Caenorhabditis elegans: one gene and its partners. The protein of the gene in region 2 interacts with the protein of the main gene of each other region in a pairwise test. Each region holds a gene or a part of one and is shown on either strand. Other genes may lie near its edges.

The links. Proteins that work in one complex are often made in the same cells at the same time.
Region 1: the proteins of arl-3 (region 2) and pdl-1 interact in binary tests that used the Caenorhabditis elegans proteins (3 or more experiments, as listed by UniProt).
Region 3: the proteins of arl-3 (region 2) and unc-119 interact in binary tests that used the Caenorhabditis elegans proteins (3 or more experiments, as listed by UniProt).

Annotation. Positions count from the first base shown.
Region 1 is NC_003280.10:7,182,101-7,185,968, reverse strand, and holds pdl-1 (Phosphodiesterase delta-like protein), read right to left. Parts: upstream 2,169-3,868; 5' UTR 2,145-2,168; coding exon 1,979-2,144; intron 1,960-1,978; exon of another isoform or gene 1,891-1,959; intron 1,694-1,890; coding exon 1,568-1,693; intron 1,551-1,567; exon of another isoform or gene 1,477-1,550; intron 1,468-1,476; coding exon 1,362-1,467; intron 892-1,361; coding exon 810-891; 3' UTR 675-809; downstream 1-674. Other genes in the region: C27H5.6 (G_PROTEIN_RECEP_F1_2 domain-containing protein), read left to right, coding at 347-477, 537-602.
Region 2 is NC_003280.10:14,604,320-14,608,849, reverse strand, and holds arl-3 (ADP-ribosylation factor-like protein 3), read right to left. Parts: upstream 2,379-4,530; 5' UTR 1,639-2,378; coding exon 1,211-1,638; intron 926-1,210; coding exon 799-925; 3' UTR 532-798; downstream 1-531. Other genes in the region: pugs-2 (ShKT domain-containing protein), read left to right, coding at 3,232-3,311, 3,482-3,689, 3,735-3,887, 4,095-4,256, 4,336-4,530; tps-2 (Alpha,alpha-trehalose-phosphate synthase [UDP-forming] 2), read right to left, coding at 15-140, 475-531. UniProt on the Caenorhabditis elegans protein: GTP-binding protein that may be involved in protein trafficking; may modulate vesicle budding and uncoating within the Golgi apparatus.
Region 3 is NC_003281.10:10,900,986-10,908,814, forward strand, and holds the start of unc-119 (Protein unc-119), read left to right. Parts: upstream 1-1,655; 5' UTR 1,656-1,662; coding exon 1,663-1,723; intron 1,724-5,470; coding exon 5,471-5,544; intron 5,545-6,612; coding exon 6,613-6,724; intron 6,725-6,794; coding exon 6,795-7,175; intron 7,176-7,662; coding exon 7,663-7,769; 3' UTR 7,770-7,829. Other genes in the region: com-1 (DNA endonuclease activator Ctp1 C-terminal domain-containing protein), read left to right, coding at 620-799. UniProt on the Caenorhabditis elegans protein: Myristoyl-binding protein that acts as a cargo adapter: specifically binds the myristoyl moiety of a subset of N-terminally myristoylated proteins and is required for their localization. Plays a key role in ciliary membrane localization of proteins.

The DNA of each region.
Region 1 (3,868 bases), 7.4 Mb from region 2:
GTTGAAGTCATGGTTTGAATATTTGCCATTAATTGAGCCAATTGATGAAAAGAAAGTTCATTTTTTGATATTTTAGATATTCTAAGATATTTTCAAAAGTCTGACAAGACTTGGTCAAGACTGTTCTAGTTCAACCAATTTAACTAGTTCAACTCTTGTCAAAGCCTTGACCAAAATGAACTGTCAAACACTAAAATTGAAGTCTGAAATAACATTTCAATATCACTTTGAATAATGAGATAATAACATATAAACTAGAAAGAAAAGCTAGTTAATTCTTAATTAACTTAAGAATTAATTAAGAATTAACTTTAAATTATTTTTTTCAAATAGTTAATGTTTCCAGGTGTTGCCTATCTTCTCTATGGTTTCCAATCTTGTTTCAACCTTCCCATCTTTTACTTTTTCCGTCTCGAATTCCGTCGCCGGTGCCACGAACTTCTCCGTTTCCGTCGTAACGGGACAAACACAATTGTGGTAAGATTGATGCATGTCCTTTCATTTTTCAATTATTTTCAGTTCTTCCTATTTTTCAGTCGAACGACATGAGTCGCCAGAAGCTATCACGTGTCAATGCTTCATTTGTGAACACTGCAATCTAAATGTATTTTTGGGACAATTTTCCTGAGCTATTCAATTTGTAAAATATATTCATATGTACATAGATGAATAAATAAATCCGTTGAAGATTTTCATTCTGAAATTGAATATTAAAATTAGGTATGTATTGTTTTAGGAATTAAAAAAGAGAGATCCATGGAGAAACAGGGAAGGATTAGAAGGGAAAAATGGATATGAATGTATATGTATTAGTCGTAATAAAGACGGACTCGAGACGTGCTTACAAGAAGATCTCCATCATAGAATAAAGTCTCGACGACGACGTTTCCGCTGAAAAATTGAGATTGTATTTTCAATCGTTCGAAATGTCAAGGCCTCGAACACAATTTAATGTTATTTTTATAGTAGGATTAAGTAGTTATATATAAGATGGTGTGCAGCATCTCCTGTGGTACGAAAATTACATACCATAAAGAATACTAAAACGTTTCAAAACTCAAAAAAAAAACTATCGGTAATTACTCAGTTTTCACCAGTACAAATATTGAAAGTCTGTTTTAATTTTTATAAAAAACACTGTATTGGTAAAATCCTACAGCAATGTTTGAAATTACTCAAAAACCCAATTTTTGAATTTTTGCCAATTTACCAAAACGCTGACTGATATAAAAAATGTTTGATTACGATACTCGGTCATGTTTACCTAATAACTATTAAGGTTTGCATGTTTCTGTTTCTAGTATCTTGAAGTGAAGCTTTGAAGCTTAGAAATCTAGTACTTTTGCACTTGTTTTACTTACCTGAGTACAGATGGTGGGAACATTTGTGATTCTGGAGCTGCCTCAATCATATTTTGCCACGTGTTTGTTGAATCAGGAATGACAAATCCAAAATCGAAATACCACTCTGAAGTCGGAATACATAATTAGTTTTCATCACCAGAAGCCAATATTATTCATCCATTGCGTGCAATAACATAATGAATATTCGAGTGATTCTATCTTACCTTCAATGATGGTTCCCTTCAAATAAACGCGTTGCTCGAGTCGAAATTTTTCGATTTTGACTGATGAAGTGAAGTTGATCTCACGAGACACCGTACGACATTTTAGAAGATTCTTTGGCACGTGTGCTGCAATCCATTAGTTTTTATTTGTTGGCTTCAAGCAATTCTATTTTTGTAGGAAAAACGCATTGCATTAGAGACCAGCGGTAAAAGACATGTGAAGGCTTAACTACACGCTCAGTGTTGCTTGCTAGCTGTGGCAGAATGGCGCAGTGGATGTGCGCGCGCATTGGGGGGAGACGCTCTCGCGTTCGTTCCCTCGTGTTGTCAGTGACGATATTACTTACCGCCCCAGGCATAGTGTTTGTGATGATTGGTTTATTCCGAGACTTTTTTTGAAATTCTTATTACCTTTGTGTTCCCTTTTTGGGTCAGCCATGTCTTCTGTGCTCTGCCAGAGAACTTTTCCAGTTTCTGCATCACGCAAGTTCATCCAGTTGAGCTTGAAGCCAGCCAGAATGCTCTCTGCCTTTTCGCTCAATTTAGAATCTTGATGACGAGTAGCGGTAGTGGCCATGACTGGAGCTCTACTCTCTGAAGAAAGTGATGTTTTGAGGAAATGACGACAGACCGAGGCACAAGAAAGAGGAACCGGTCATCTTAGGAACAAGGAAAAGTCAATATTGACGAAAAGTGACGATTGCCGGAAAAAGAGCATAAAAAATGAGTGTTCCCGAAGAGTGGTCATTATGAAAAAAAGAACACGTGGAGATCATTGAATTCATAAAGGAAGTCGTGTTATAAGTGGCACTTACATTTTATGAAAAAGGGAAGAGAATAAGAGAAGTAACTCGTATTCATACAATTATATATTACTGCTTATATATTTCTTTTCGTAATTCGACGGTTCTGTGGTTTGAGCAGGATGGGATTAGGTGATAATTTAGAGAAATATCATATTATTTCAATAATTCCCTAGATAAAGCTATGACTAGTAAGTCGGGCACTTATAACGCAGAAATTGCAATAGAAAATTTTCTTCAGAAAATCTACATAAATAGTCGATTGTAGTGTTTAAACAGAAAATGTATTTTTAAAAAAATATTATTTGAACTTATTTGTAATTCTGAAAATTTTGTATCGTTTAGATAACCTACAAATTGAAAGTAGGAATTGAAACAAACAGAACAAAAAAATATGTGCAAATTTTTGCATGTAATTAAAATTTCCAAACAATTTTGGTGTGTATGAAAGAAAGCAAATAAATAAATTTAAAAAGTCGACCAAAACATATTCAATTTCAAGAGGCAAGACGAGGTGAGATGATGTGATAGAAAAGGCGTGAAAAAGTTTTTACGAAATTTTAGAGGAAGCGCAGTCTCTGGCACAATGTTTTCACGGCCTTCTCGTTGCTCCCAGCTCAACCCCGACTGCGGTGGACGGAGAAAGCTCCAAATTAACCGAAAAGAGCGCGTCGTTGGGATGAGAGAAATAGAGAAATATGCGAAAGAAGTGAAGATGGCAGAAAGGAGAAAAAGAGACACAGGGAAAGGCTCTATTGAGTTGAAGAAGAAGAAGAAGAAGAAGAAGAAGGAAAATTGTGAAAAAAAAAGGAAAAAGAAGACGAAAATGACGGAAATGGAGAGAAAAAGGAAGAAGGATTTTAAGACGATCGGAGGGAAATGAGAAAAGTCTGAATGTTAAAACGGTGAGCTAGATGAGGGAACGAATGTAGGCGGAGTCATGGAGTCACTTGAATTGTTAAGTATATTCACGAGGTGGCTGATGAACAGGGTTTAAGACTTTGAGAACATTTTTGTTTGGAAAATGTGGGCATTTTATTGCAAAATCACAACAGCAGGAAAAAAGAAAATTATTTTTGATGTAAGGTGTGCCTTTTATAACCCTTGAAGTTATATACTGTTATTTACATGAACTTCCAAGTGATTCACACACACAACAAATGCAGTTACAAGTGCAGTGCATATTCAGTTTACATCGAACATTTTCTAACATTTTCTAGGTTAAAAAAAAAGAATTTGAAGTTCGAGTTCGAGCAAATCGAAAGGTTCTATGTTTCTTCTATACATATTTAAGTCTAATTTTTTAACTCCTGAAGTTTCTGCCTCGGGTTTTTGAGTTTTACCGAAAATAAGACTGTGCAATACATCGTCTGTGAAGATGGGAAAAGCTTTCAATCAAAACTACAGAAAACATTTACAAAATACAAGCTCCAAGTGACAAAACAAGCATTCAAACATTGAAAGTTGTTTGCTTAACAAAATACTTTTCAATGTTATC
Region 2 (4,530 bases):
CCATATTTGCATACCTGAATGACTCCAGAATATGCTGGCTGAATACTTGACGGATAACTGCACGAATAACTTTTCAAAGTTCCGTCTCGATCGGTGAAGAAATAGTGGAAATGATCAGCAGAGTAGAGCAGCTCAACGGCCTAAATGTTAAAATTGGTTTGGGGTGGTGGAGGTATAAATTGGATTTGATAGAAAACTCTGAATTTTTGATTCTCTGGACAATTCTGGATGCACTTAAAATTATTCCTAACAGTTATTTTGGTGATTCAAATTGTTCAAGTAAAATGTTCAGTTAGCCATAGTTGATTAAGGTACTTTTAATAATTTTCCAAAATTTCATTTACAAAATTCAAAAAAAATTATTTTTTCTTTAAAAAACAATTCAGAAAAAATTTCCAAACTCGATGGGGTTTGTTTTCCTAGAAATATCCAAAATTGAAATTAATTGGCACTTTAGTTATGTACTACCCTTACATTTTCAACTTCCTTCTTATAGGTTTCCACTGAAATTGGATGTGAGCTGATGAGTGTCTGAAATTTAATTTTTTTAAATAAATGCCAATTACATTCACTATTTAAAAAAATTATTAATAAATCCACGTGGTATGATATTTATTAACTGATATACGAAAAAAACATGGAAAAGGAGATACTAAGCATGAGAGACTGCCACAGAGATATTGTAAATGGATAGAGATGGTGGGGAGAGAAGCACTTGCGCTCGATTGATAACTTAGGGCAACACTGGTAATACTGTATACTCCCTGGAAGATTTTTTGTGTGGGATTATACAATGATCTATTTTTTAGAAGCCGGTTTCAGGTTACTAGCAACCCAAGTGATTCCGTCGTTGATGCCCTCGTTTTTGAGCGCTGAGCAGGCTTGAATGTGCCAAGTGCGGTCGCGGAGAAGGTCCAGGTTTAGTCTGAAGGTGATTTTGGAGATTAGAATTTGGAGTTTAGGAATTAAGCTGTCAATGCATTTTTATTGCAATTTGAAATTGGATGTGAGCTGATGATAACTTTTCAAAAAAAACTGAATGAATACATTTTCTATTTCTATCAGTGTTATTAATATAAGAAGGTTTAGCTTATTAGAGAAAAAGTCCTTGAGGGAAATGGCATTCGCTTTTTATGTATGAAGGCAAAGGACAAACCAGGTCATTCGTTTTAACAACCATAAATTGTTATTGTTGAAGAAAAATACTTACTTTCTGGTAATTTCCTCTGATGACGCTGCTGTGACAAGATCCTGTTTATTAGCAAATATGAGCACCGGAACCTTGCGAAGCTTCTCCTCGTCAAGCAGTTCGCCGAGCTCAATGTTCATCTCGTCGAACCGCTTCTTGTCATTACTATCGATCACGAAGATCAGTGTGTCGATATTTTCGTAGTAGTTGGACCAATACGGACGAATCGATCGCTGACCTCCGATGTCCCAGACGTTTAGACGTATGTCACCCATAGCGGCGACAGTCTTCACGTTGAATCCCTTGGTCGGTGTGACGTGTTGAACATCTTCAGAGGACAGCTGCTTCAGTATTGTCGTCTTACCGGCGTTGTCGAGTCCTAGTAGAAGGATTCGGATTTCGCGGCCACTGGGTGACTTGAATGATTTCAGAACATCGATGAGTCCCATTTTTGTGAGAGGTCAAGGGATAGGAATACCAGAATAGAATTCGAACGAAAAACCGGAAACGTGTGAGAGAGAAGGAGAGAGAATGAGGACAACGTCTGCAAGTGAGAGAAGAGAAGCTTACTCTCTAGCTCCCGTATGTTACCATAGAGACGTGCATGCTCGTGCGTCTCTGCTCCTCCCATCTCTTAGCTTCTGAGCTCAAATGTTGAGCACGCATTTTGTGTGTGCACGTTTGTGAGTCAGATGAAGTGGCCGGTGGCGAAAAATCGCGTGATGAGCTCTCGAAGGTTTCCATTACAATTAACTGATTTTAGGATAGATTTGGGAAGTGCAAATTAGAAAATGTACAAGTCCATTGTTGGTGAAATGGGATTAAAAGTATTTCGAAATATGTTGATGAAGTATGAATATTTAAATTTCCTCAAATGATGAATATTATGATGCATGTAAAATTTGAGAGGAAAAAGGAATTTGAAAAAAAGGTTGCTCAAAGTTGTGGTTTTGTGTATTTTTTCGGAAATTTCAGAATTTCAATTTTAATTGACAAAATTGCACGCATCCTATGAATGTTCCTACATCAATTTTGAAAAATATACGAATTCTATGAAAATATCTTAAGAAAATGGGGGAAAAAACTTCAAAAAAGCACAGTGTTTCGTCTTATAAAAAACCCCCGACAAATCGAATATTTTCGGCAAACCGGCAAACCGACAATTTGCAGACTTGCCCAGTTTGTCGACAAAAAAATTGAATAAAAAGTAAAACTTGGTGCCTGCCTGATTGCCTACAAATTTACTAACAGCTGAACTTGCAATAATTTTTGCATACAAAAAAACCATAAAATGCAAAAACAAAGACTCAAAAATTTCAATAATCAAATATCAAGTTTCATATCAAATTTTTTGCCGCAGTCGTTTTAGTGTGCATATGTCTTCATCGATTTAAACAATAGGTCAAGTGTAAGCCTTGCGTTATGAGTATCATGTGAAAAAAGCTCAACGCATTCGAAATTGCCCCCCGCCCTCTGCAATTGTTTTTCGTGTCATCGAGACCACTCTCGCTCCCGGCTACATAAAACTTTTAAAAGTACACATTCCATTGCGTATAACCTATTTTCTATAGACATTTTAGATAATCAACCTTGACCAAGTTTTTCAAAATTATTAGGTTTTACAAATGATTAACGTAGTAGTGCGAATAATTTCTGGCACCGTATCTTGTTTTTGGTAAGACTCGTTCCAACTAATTTCAAAACCATATGATCACTTGAAAATGTCCATTCATTTCTGAATCTAATAAAATAATTTTGTCAATAATAACAAACCATTTCATCCAGTTTCCCTCCCAATGCCCTAAAATCTCAAGTGCACTTGATGTCCATACGTCTTCTTTTTTTCTCACTTTCCTCCTACAGTTCGCTTTTCCTCATTTTCAACTGCTACTAAAATTCCAATATCGGTAGAAAAAGTAGGTCACCCTTCTCATCCATTTGCCAGAATAAGGGGGAGGTTTGCGAATTTGAAATTTTATTTTTCAAGGACAGGTGCGGAGACACAATATATCGCTATCTCTATTTTCAACTTTTTTGACAAGATGGTATCACGGTTGGTGGTTTTGTTTATTTCGCTGACTTTTGTTGGAGTTTTGGAGACGGCGGATATTTGCGACATTCTGTGAGTTTTTTTTTTAAATGAAAGTGTTGGAGGACCATCATTTTGTTACTTACTGTTATGTATTCGAAGAATTAATATAAACAGGAATTTTAAATGAGAGGCTGAAAATACCGTTTTAGATTATTGTACTTTTAACGTTTCGACTAAATTTATTGACAAAAATATTTCAGCGATGCCAACTATTGCTTCTACTTCTCTGACTCGGCCTGCTATATTAACCTATGTCAATGTGAGGCTTGTTCCCAACCAGACAAAGTTCAAGCTTTGCTCCTTGACGATTCTTCAAATTCCACCCACGAATCTCAAGGAAGACTCTGCCCATCTTGGTGTGGACACTTAAAATCAAACGAGACCATTGTGAACATTTTGGGCGCTGTGGTAAGTTTTTATTAAAGTAGAAAAGTAATTTTTGCGTTGTTTTAGGGAAACTCTACAACCGATCTGCAAGATGTTTCATTTGAATGTGACGATTTGAAGAAAAACTGCCTTGCCGTAAAGAAGTACAACGGTCATTGCTACTTTTTCGAGAAAAATTGTGAATATGATGCGGCTATTTCGAAAAGGGGAAAATCAAAGGTAATTTCGCTTTTTGGAGTAAAGTTATTACTTAAATTGATTCAAAATTGGCCTTAATAGACCAGTTTTATAGAAAACTCTTGAAATTTTTGAAAAAGGCAAGTTCAACTTTGAGCCATGATAAAAATTTTTAAGTTCTCAAACGTTCTCAGTATTTTTGCATTTTAAGATTTTTAAATATAGTTTACCTATAAGAACAATTTTCAGACCTCACGAAACCCAAAAACCGCTGGCGAATGCTTGAAACTGCAGAAAAAATGTAGTCAAAAGTACAAGAAACATTATGCTTGCAAGACTTTCAGAAGACACTGTAGAAAATATAACTTGCCAGAAATTGAAGTCAATAATTCAACATTGACGAGTAATTCAGTGAGTTATAGAGTGTTATAGCCTTATTTAAATAAATAATAACTACCGTTTATAAATAAAAATAATGAGAAAATTCCAGACCCATGTTCAAGTGAGCCCATTGGAGCAGTGTCTAAACTTCCAAAAAATCTGCGCCGCCAAGTACAAAAAGCACTTTGCGTGTCGTCAATACCGCAAGAAATGCCTGTCCTACAACCTTCCCGAAATTCATATGGAAAAGTCAGAAGTCACACAAAAGCCACCAAACCAACACAAGAAGCACATGAAGAAGGGA
Region 3 (7,829 bases), on a different chromosome or scaffold from region 2:
TTCACGTGGTGTCAGAGTGTCTCATATCGGTTTGATCTACGTTGATCTACAAAAAATGCAGGAGTTGAGACGCAGACTTCTCAACTTATTTCGCATGATTAAGAACGTGCTGACGTCACATTTTTTGGCCGAAAAATTCCCGCATCTTGTAGATCAAACCGTGATGGGATAGGCTGACACTACGTGAGGTTTTTAAAATTCAATTTTGCAATTGTCATATTTTCCAGCTTGTTCAAAAAATATTCAAAAAGTGAAAAAGTGATGCGAGGTTTTTTTTTTGGTTTTTAATAAACCCAGTTTATTAAAAAAATCTTATTTTTCTATTTTCGGGTTTTCAATTTTCCTTTTTTCATACTTTTCGAAATCTTAATTTTCTTTCTATTCGGGTTTTTTTTTAGAAAAAAAACATATTTTTCGGTTTTTTCAACTTTTAGATTTTCTGGAAAAAAATTCGACAAAAAGTTTGAATAGAAATTAGAGACAATTCTCCTCGTGGAGTACACACGAGCTGCGTAAATCGACAAAACACCGTCATTTCAAAAAGTGAAATTCTGAGCGCCACCAAAAATCCCCTTTTTTCTTTTTTGCAAAAACCCCGAAAATGTTAAAATTTTTCCAGATCAGTCGCCACCGCTACGTGCACCAACCACTTCCAGACACTCCAGAACGGTATTGGGATTTGACAATGGGACCACGAGATGAGGACAGCGGAAATCATGTACAAATGACACAGAGCCGACGATGGGAAGATATAGCAGAGAAAATGGAATGGCCGACTGGAATCAATACGTGGAATTAATTGAAACATATCACTTCTTATTTTATTTATTTTCATATGAATATGTGTATTTATTGATTTTTTAGCCAAAAAACCTCTGTGGCCTAGTTTTACAAATCCTAGGGCACATTCTCAAAATTAGCGAATATTTCAAAAAGAACGATTTCTCTGGAAAATCGCACAGTTGGTGTGCGCAATTTTCACAATTTCCTCGTGGCCGAGCTTTGAAATCTTAGGTCATGATTCATGATATTCTCCACTAGAACTCACAAACACATATTACTGGAACTGAGAATGCGTATTACACAACGTATTTGACGCGCAAAATATCTCGTAGCGAAAACTACAGTAATTCCTTTAATGACTACTGTAATGTCGATTTACGGGCTCAGCGATATTCAATTTTCTTTAGTTTTTTTTCAAATTGTTATTTTTCACCGATATATAAATTATTTCCGTAAATCAACACAACCGCTACAGTACACGTTTAAAGAAGTACTGTAGTTTTCGCTACGAGATATTTTGCGCGTTGATTGTAAAATCGAAACAAAAGAATAATAATAATTGCTCTGAAATTAGATTACTCCTGCTCAATTTCGTTGCTACATATTTTTATGGCTCTTTTTCTCTGGCTACTCCCCTCCTTCAGTCATAATTCCATGCTTTGTCGGCTCGACACGGCTCATTTTCACCAATTTTCTCGCTGAAATTTGAGTTTTTAGATTTTTATTCATGTTTTAGTTTTCAATTTTGAATTTGAATTCCAAAGCCACGCACATTTTTTTTGCAATTTTTTAGAGTTAAAATAGACATCTCGCAGAAAATTTGAATTACCCGCCAAAATTTGTTCACAAAAAATTTGAAATTCTGTTTTTTTTTTCAGAATGACCGGCGGAAATGAGCAGCGGGCCGGAACCGCCAAAGGACGACGTGGAGCACAAGACTGTGAGCACTTTTTCCATTTTTTTTTAACCCAAAGACCTTGAAATGACTTAAAAAATAACGAAAAAACAAAAATAATCACCTGGTATTTGCTAAAAATAGTTAAAAGTGTTCCTATTTTTGGAAAATCTGTCTGAAAAAATATGTTTTTTTTCTTCTTTTTTGAAACATTTTTAAACATTGGCAACGACACTCCAACATCCCGCAGCTGGCCGTTGCTGAAAAATTTCTAGGCCTCGAGTGACGTCACTACTGATCAGTCTCAGGCCACGTGAATTTCTAGGCCACCGATAGCGTCATTTCTTTTCCAATTGCGAGCACACCCAGGACAAATTTGAAATTCTCTTCCATTTGCGTTTACAAAGTTTTCTAGGCCATCGGTGACGTCATTACTCTTCCAATAACGGTTCTTCTGCTTTCTAGGCCACAAGTGACGTCATGGCATTGCCTATGCCATTTTCACTCTTCCATTAGAAGCTGTGGAGGTTTTTAGGCCATCTATGACGTCATATATATATATTTTTTTTTCCATTTTTCACAAATCCCAGTTACTTTTCACAAGCCGGATCGTCATTTACAAAACGAAATAAAAAAGAGGAAATCATGTTATTCATGTTTTTAGTTCCTCTTCATCACATGCACACTCGCTTCTCTTCCTCCCTCTATTTAGTATGTGCCACGTCTCTTTTAAGCCCCCGACAGCTACCCCTCCATTTTTTCCCTCTCGTTCCTCTTGACATTTTGCTTTTCGTTTCCGCTTTTTCTTTTTTGTCTCCTTTTTCTCGTGTCTTATGTTCTTGGAAGGAAGAAGAGAGAAGCTTTATAATCACCATGGTAACGGGGGTGCTCCGCGAGCTCCAAGAACAACGCAATTAGTGGAAATGAGAACAAGAGAAGGGGGCTTAGAAGCATCCTGAAATGTGTGTGGAAGAGGAATGACTTCATAAGTAATGCTGGCCTAGAAACCTTCAAAACCTCCCGTGAACGAGAGATGACGCCATGAATATCAGTGCTCGGAAACCTCACTTTCAGTGACCTAAGATTCTGCACGGCCACCATAATGACGTCACTAGAAGCCTATAAAATGCAAGTGGCCTAGAAACCGTCCAGGGTACGGCCAACAAAAAGTGGCTAAAAAGATTAATAGCATCATATTTAATAGATGCTATTTATATGATGACTGGCAACAAAAGAATGCCAATTTTCTCTCCAAAAGTAGCTCCAAAGTTCGGTGGCCTAGAAATCCATCTACGGCCGCCTACATGACGTCACTCATAGCCTAGAAACCACGGGCGACCAACAATTTTCGAAAAAATTGTGAGAAAAAAGTCGAAAATTCTCCGGAAATGTTTGCGAGAAGAAGTTCGGTGTTCAAAGACAATATTTGACCAGGTTCCTTTTTCTGCAATAAACAAACATTTTCCCTTTCCCTCTTGGGGAAAACGGGCGGCTCCAATCGGAAACGCGAACAATTTTTATTATGCTTGTCTATTCCTAGACGATTATTGGTTCCCACAAATGAATTTGAAATTATTGTGAAACTCTAGTTATTTTGCAATTGTTTTGTGCCAAGCTTCAGTAAAAGAAGTAGAATTTTATAGTTTTTTTTCTGTTTGAAAAATTCTCCCCATCAATGTTCTTTCAAATAAATACATCACTAATGCAAAGTATTCTATAACCTCATATCTAAATTCTTCAAAATCTTAACATATCTTATCATTGCTTTAAGTCAAACGTAACATTAAAAAAAATGTTTTGGAAAATGTGTCAAGTCTCTCAAAATTCAGTTTTTTAAACCACTCCTATAGTCCTATAGTCCTATAGTTACCCATGAAATCCTTATATATTACTGTAAAATGTTTCAAAAACCATTGGCAAATTGCCAGAACTGAAAATTTCCGGCAAATTGGGGAACCGGCAAATTGCCAATTTGCTGAATTTGCCGGAAAAACGGTAATTGCCGAAAGTTTTTGACACGAAAATGGCAAATTGTGGTTTTAAAATTTTTTTTTTTGGAAATTTCAGAATTTCAATTTTAATCGGCAAAACTGTAGGCATCCTAAGAATGTTCCTACATCTATTTTGAAAAGTAAGCGAATTCTATGAAAATGTCTAAAGAAAATGGGGAAACAATTTCAAAAAGGCACAGTTTCAAGTGTTTCCGAATTATACTAAATCCCTCTAAAAACTTCCGGCAAATTGATATCCGTAAAAGAGCAAATCCGCATTTTTGCCGAAAATTAAAATTTCCGACAAATCGGCAAACCGGCAATTTGGCGAAATTTGCCGGAAGGCAATTGCCGCCCACCCCTGTTCCAGAGGTTCAAACTGGTAGCAAAGCTCAAAATTTCTCAAATTCTCCAATTTTTTTTTGAATTTTGGCAGTGTACCAAAATGACATTCAGTCATATTGGTTTATTATAGATTTATTTAGATAAAATCCTAAATGATTCTACCTTTAAAGATGCCCACTTTAAAAGTAATGACTCAAACTTCAAATTGCTCTAAGATTCTATTGAATTACCATCTTTTCCTCTCATTTTCTCTCACTGTCTATTTCATCACAAATTCATCCCTCTCTCCCTCTCTTTCTCTCTCCCTCTCTCTCTTTCTCTTTGCTCATCATCTGTCATTTTGTCCGTTCCTCTCTCTGCGCCCTCAGCGTTCCCCACACTCTCTCGCTTCTCTTTTCCTAGACGTCTTCTTTTTTCATCTTCTTCAGCCCTTTTTCGCCATTTTCCATCTCTGTCAATCATTACGGACGACCCCCATTAATTTTTGGATGTGCTCTGCGAGCAAGAGCACACGGAACTCATTTATTTTTTGTTGGAATTTCTTTTTCATTTTAGTTAGTTAAAAGGTTATTCAGTGCAAAAATTGATTTTTTGCTCTTTTGGTACATTAGAGGGGTTTGAAAGTTTTCCATAAAAAGGGTTTCCGGAGTAAAAAATCTAAAAATTTTTACAAACATTTCCAAAAATTTTGGGAACATATCTTTTCAAAAACTCAAAAAAAAACGCAAACATCATAAATTTAATCAATTAATTGGATGCGTTCAAATATTTTAAAAATATTTTTGAATTGCATATTTCTTTACTCATAAAAAAATTATTAATGTTTAAGTAAAAAAAATATTTCAGGATTTTAAACAAAAACTGTAAATCCCATAAAACAGTGTTATTTTTTAGTTATTTTTAGTAATTATTTGTGAATTAAAAACACATTTTTTTTCAAAATATTCCTTGAATAAATAAAATTGAAAGTGAATTCAAAATATTTCACCAATTTTACAAAATTTGAAAATTTGAAAAAATATTTTCTACCAAATTGTGCTCAAAAAATATTATTAAGTTCCCAGGAAATTTATGATGAAAACTTGGAATATTTTTGGTAAAATTTTCTCAAAAAATTGAAAGTTGTCAAAAACACACTAACACTATACCTCGCGGCATAGAAAAAACTGGTGGCCGAATTTTTTAAACCAATTTAAATTAAATATATTTTTGCACTTTGTACAAAAAAATTTGAAGTTCCCAGGAAATTCATACGGAAATATTTTCCAGAACTTTTATAATTTTTATTTTAATTCTCAAAATTTACAATAAAAACTTGGAAACCTGAAATTTGCTTAAAGAATAACCCTATCCCCCACGGCCTAGAAAATACTGGTGGCCGAATTTTTTCCGCAGCCACACCACCTCTAATCTCCAGAGCACTCTCCAAAATTCCCATAATCCCCAAAATTTTCAGCTACAACAGCATATATGAAGGCAGAGCAACAACAACAATCGATCGCACCCGGCTCGGCAACCTTCCCGTCTCAGGTGAGGAAGACGCAGAGAAATGAGAGAGAGAGCGTGTTTATGCACGCAGTATACTAACTCCTGATATCCAATTTCATATATCGATATGCTTGCTTTCTTTTCTTCTACGTTGAAATTGTTTGAACTTTTCTCAAAAAACGCGGATTTTAGAGAGACTTAGAGTTGCTCCAAATAAATTTAATTTGCAATTTTGCACTTACTATTAGAATCTACTTTTATAGCGCTAAAATGACCGAATAACACAGTAGATTTTAAAAGAAAATTTTAAAAATTATTTTTTTGTGCAGTCAAATTTCGCTAGTTTTTGCCACTCATTTTTGAACATTTGTATATGTGCCTTTCGGTGGTTCAATCAGGGGTGGCACGTGGTGTCAGAGTGTTCCATTTCGGTTTGATCTACGTTGATCTACAAAAAATGCGGGAGAAGAGACGCAGAGTTCTCAACTGATTTCACATGGTTATGAACCAGGGGTGTTCGGCAAATTTGCCGTTTGCCGAGCTGGGCAAATTTTGAGATTTGCCGCACACCCCTTTTATGAACGTGCTGACGTCACATCTTTTTGGACAAAGAATTCCCGCATTTTTTGTATATCAAACCGTGATGGGACAGCCTGGCACCACGTGGGGTTGGCGGCAAATGATTTTTTCCGACAAATCGGCAAATTGGCAAATTGCCGGAATTTAAAGTTTCTGGCAAATTGTTGATTTGCCGAAAAAAAATTTCAAAAAGGCACAGTTTTAAGTGTTTCCGTCTTATAAAATATTTCTCTAAAAATTTCCGGAAAACGGAAAATTGCCGGAAATACAAAGTTTCGTCAAATCGGCAAACCTGCAATTTGCCGAACGGCAACTGCCGCCAACACCTGGTTCCCAAAAAAGCGTGCACTGTTTGAATATTAAAAAAAAAATTCACACAAAAATAATAAATTGAAATAGGCTAAATTCACATCTATGTACAAAAATTGCATGCCAGCACCGGTCAATTTTCTCAATTACTTTTTGTCTATTTTTGCCGAACATAATTTGCTGTTTCCTTGGCAGAATACAGAAAACTCTTTTTTTTTTCAGATGCCCCGACCCCCACCGGTAACCGAACAGGCTATAACCACCGAGGCGGAGCTTCTCGCGAAAAATCAAATTACACCAAATGATGTGCTAGCTCTTCCAGGAATCACTCAAGGTAAGTGAATATTTGCTCTATTGATAAACGCGCCGTGTACTCCACGTGGACAAACATATCAAATTTTCAGGATTCCTATGCTCCCCATCGGCAAACGTCTATAACATTGAGTTCACCAAATTCCAAATCCGTGACCTCGACACGGAACACGTGCTCTTCGAAATTGCAAAACCGGAAAATGAGACGGAAGAGAATCTGCAGGCGCAAGCCGAATCGGCAAGATATGTCCGATATCGATTTGCGCCGAATTTTCTGAAATTAAAGACGGTCGGCGCGACGGTCGAGTTCAAGGTCGGCGATGTGCCGATCACACATTTTCGAATGATTGAACGGCACTTTTTCAAGGATCGTTTATTGAAATGCTTTGATTTTGAATTTGGATTCTGTATGCCAAATTCGAGAAACAACTGTGAACATATCTATGAATTTCCACAACTTTCACAACAACTCAGTGAGTTTGAAGCGGGAAAAATTATTTGAGCTCATTTTGTCAATAGAGCGAATTTTCTAGGTTTTTAAAAATAAAATAAATATTGACAAAAAGCTGCCCTACAGTAGTTCAAAATGTGAAAACTTGGAGGAAATTCGAGTTTTCTCTGAGAAGTTTTTGGCGGGTAATTCAAATTTTCTGAGAAAAAAATTAGCCGCGAGAATTCAAATTTTCTGAGAAAATTATTTGACGGGAAATTCAAAATTTCTGGAAATGTATTGAACATTTGAGAAATTTTGTTAAAAACTACATTAAACCGATAAAAAAGTTCGCAAATTTTTTTTAAGTGCTCATGGTGCATCGAAGAGAAGAATTCTTGCCAAAACTAGCCCATGAAATTAAAAATTATCGCGGAAAAAAACTGACTAATTGGAAAGTAAAATGAAATTTGCAAAAAAAAAATATGTTTTTTTGTTGTAAAATTAAAAAAAAAACTGTATATTTTCAGTGGACGACATGATCAATAATCCAAACGAGACCCGCTCCGATAGCTTCTATTTTGTGGAGAATAAGCTCGTAATGCACAATAAGGCCGACTACTCGTATGATGCATAATTTCCCGCCGATGGAATAAAACTAATAATTTTTCTCGCAATTTATAGAAATCATGTGATT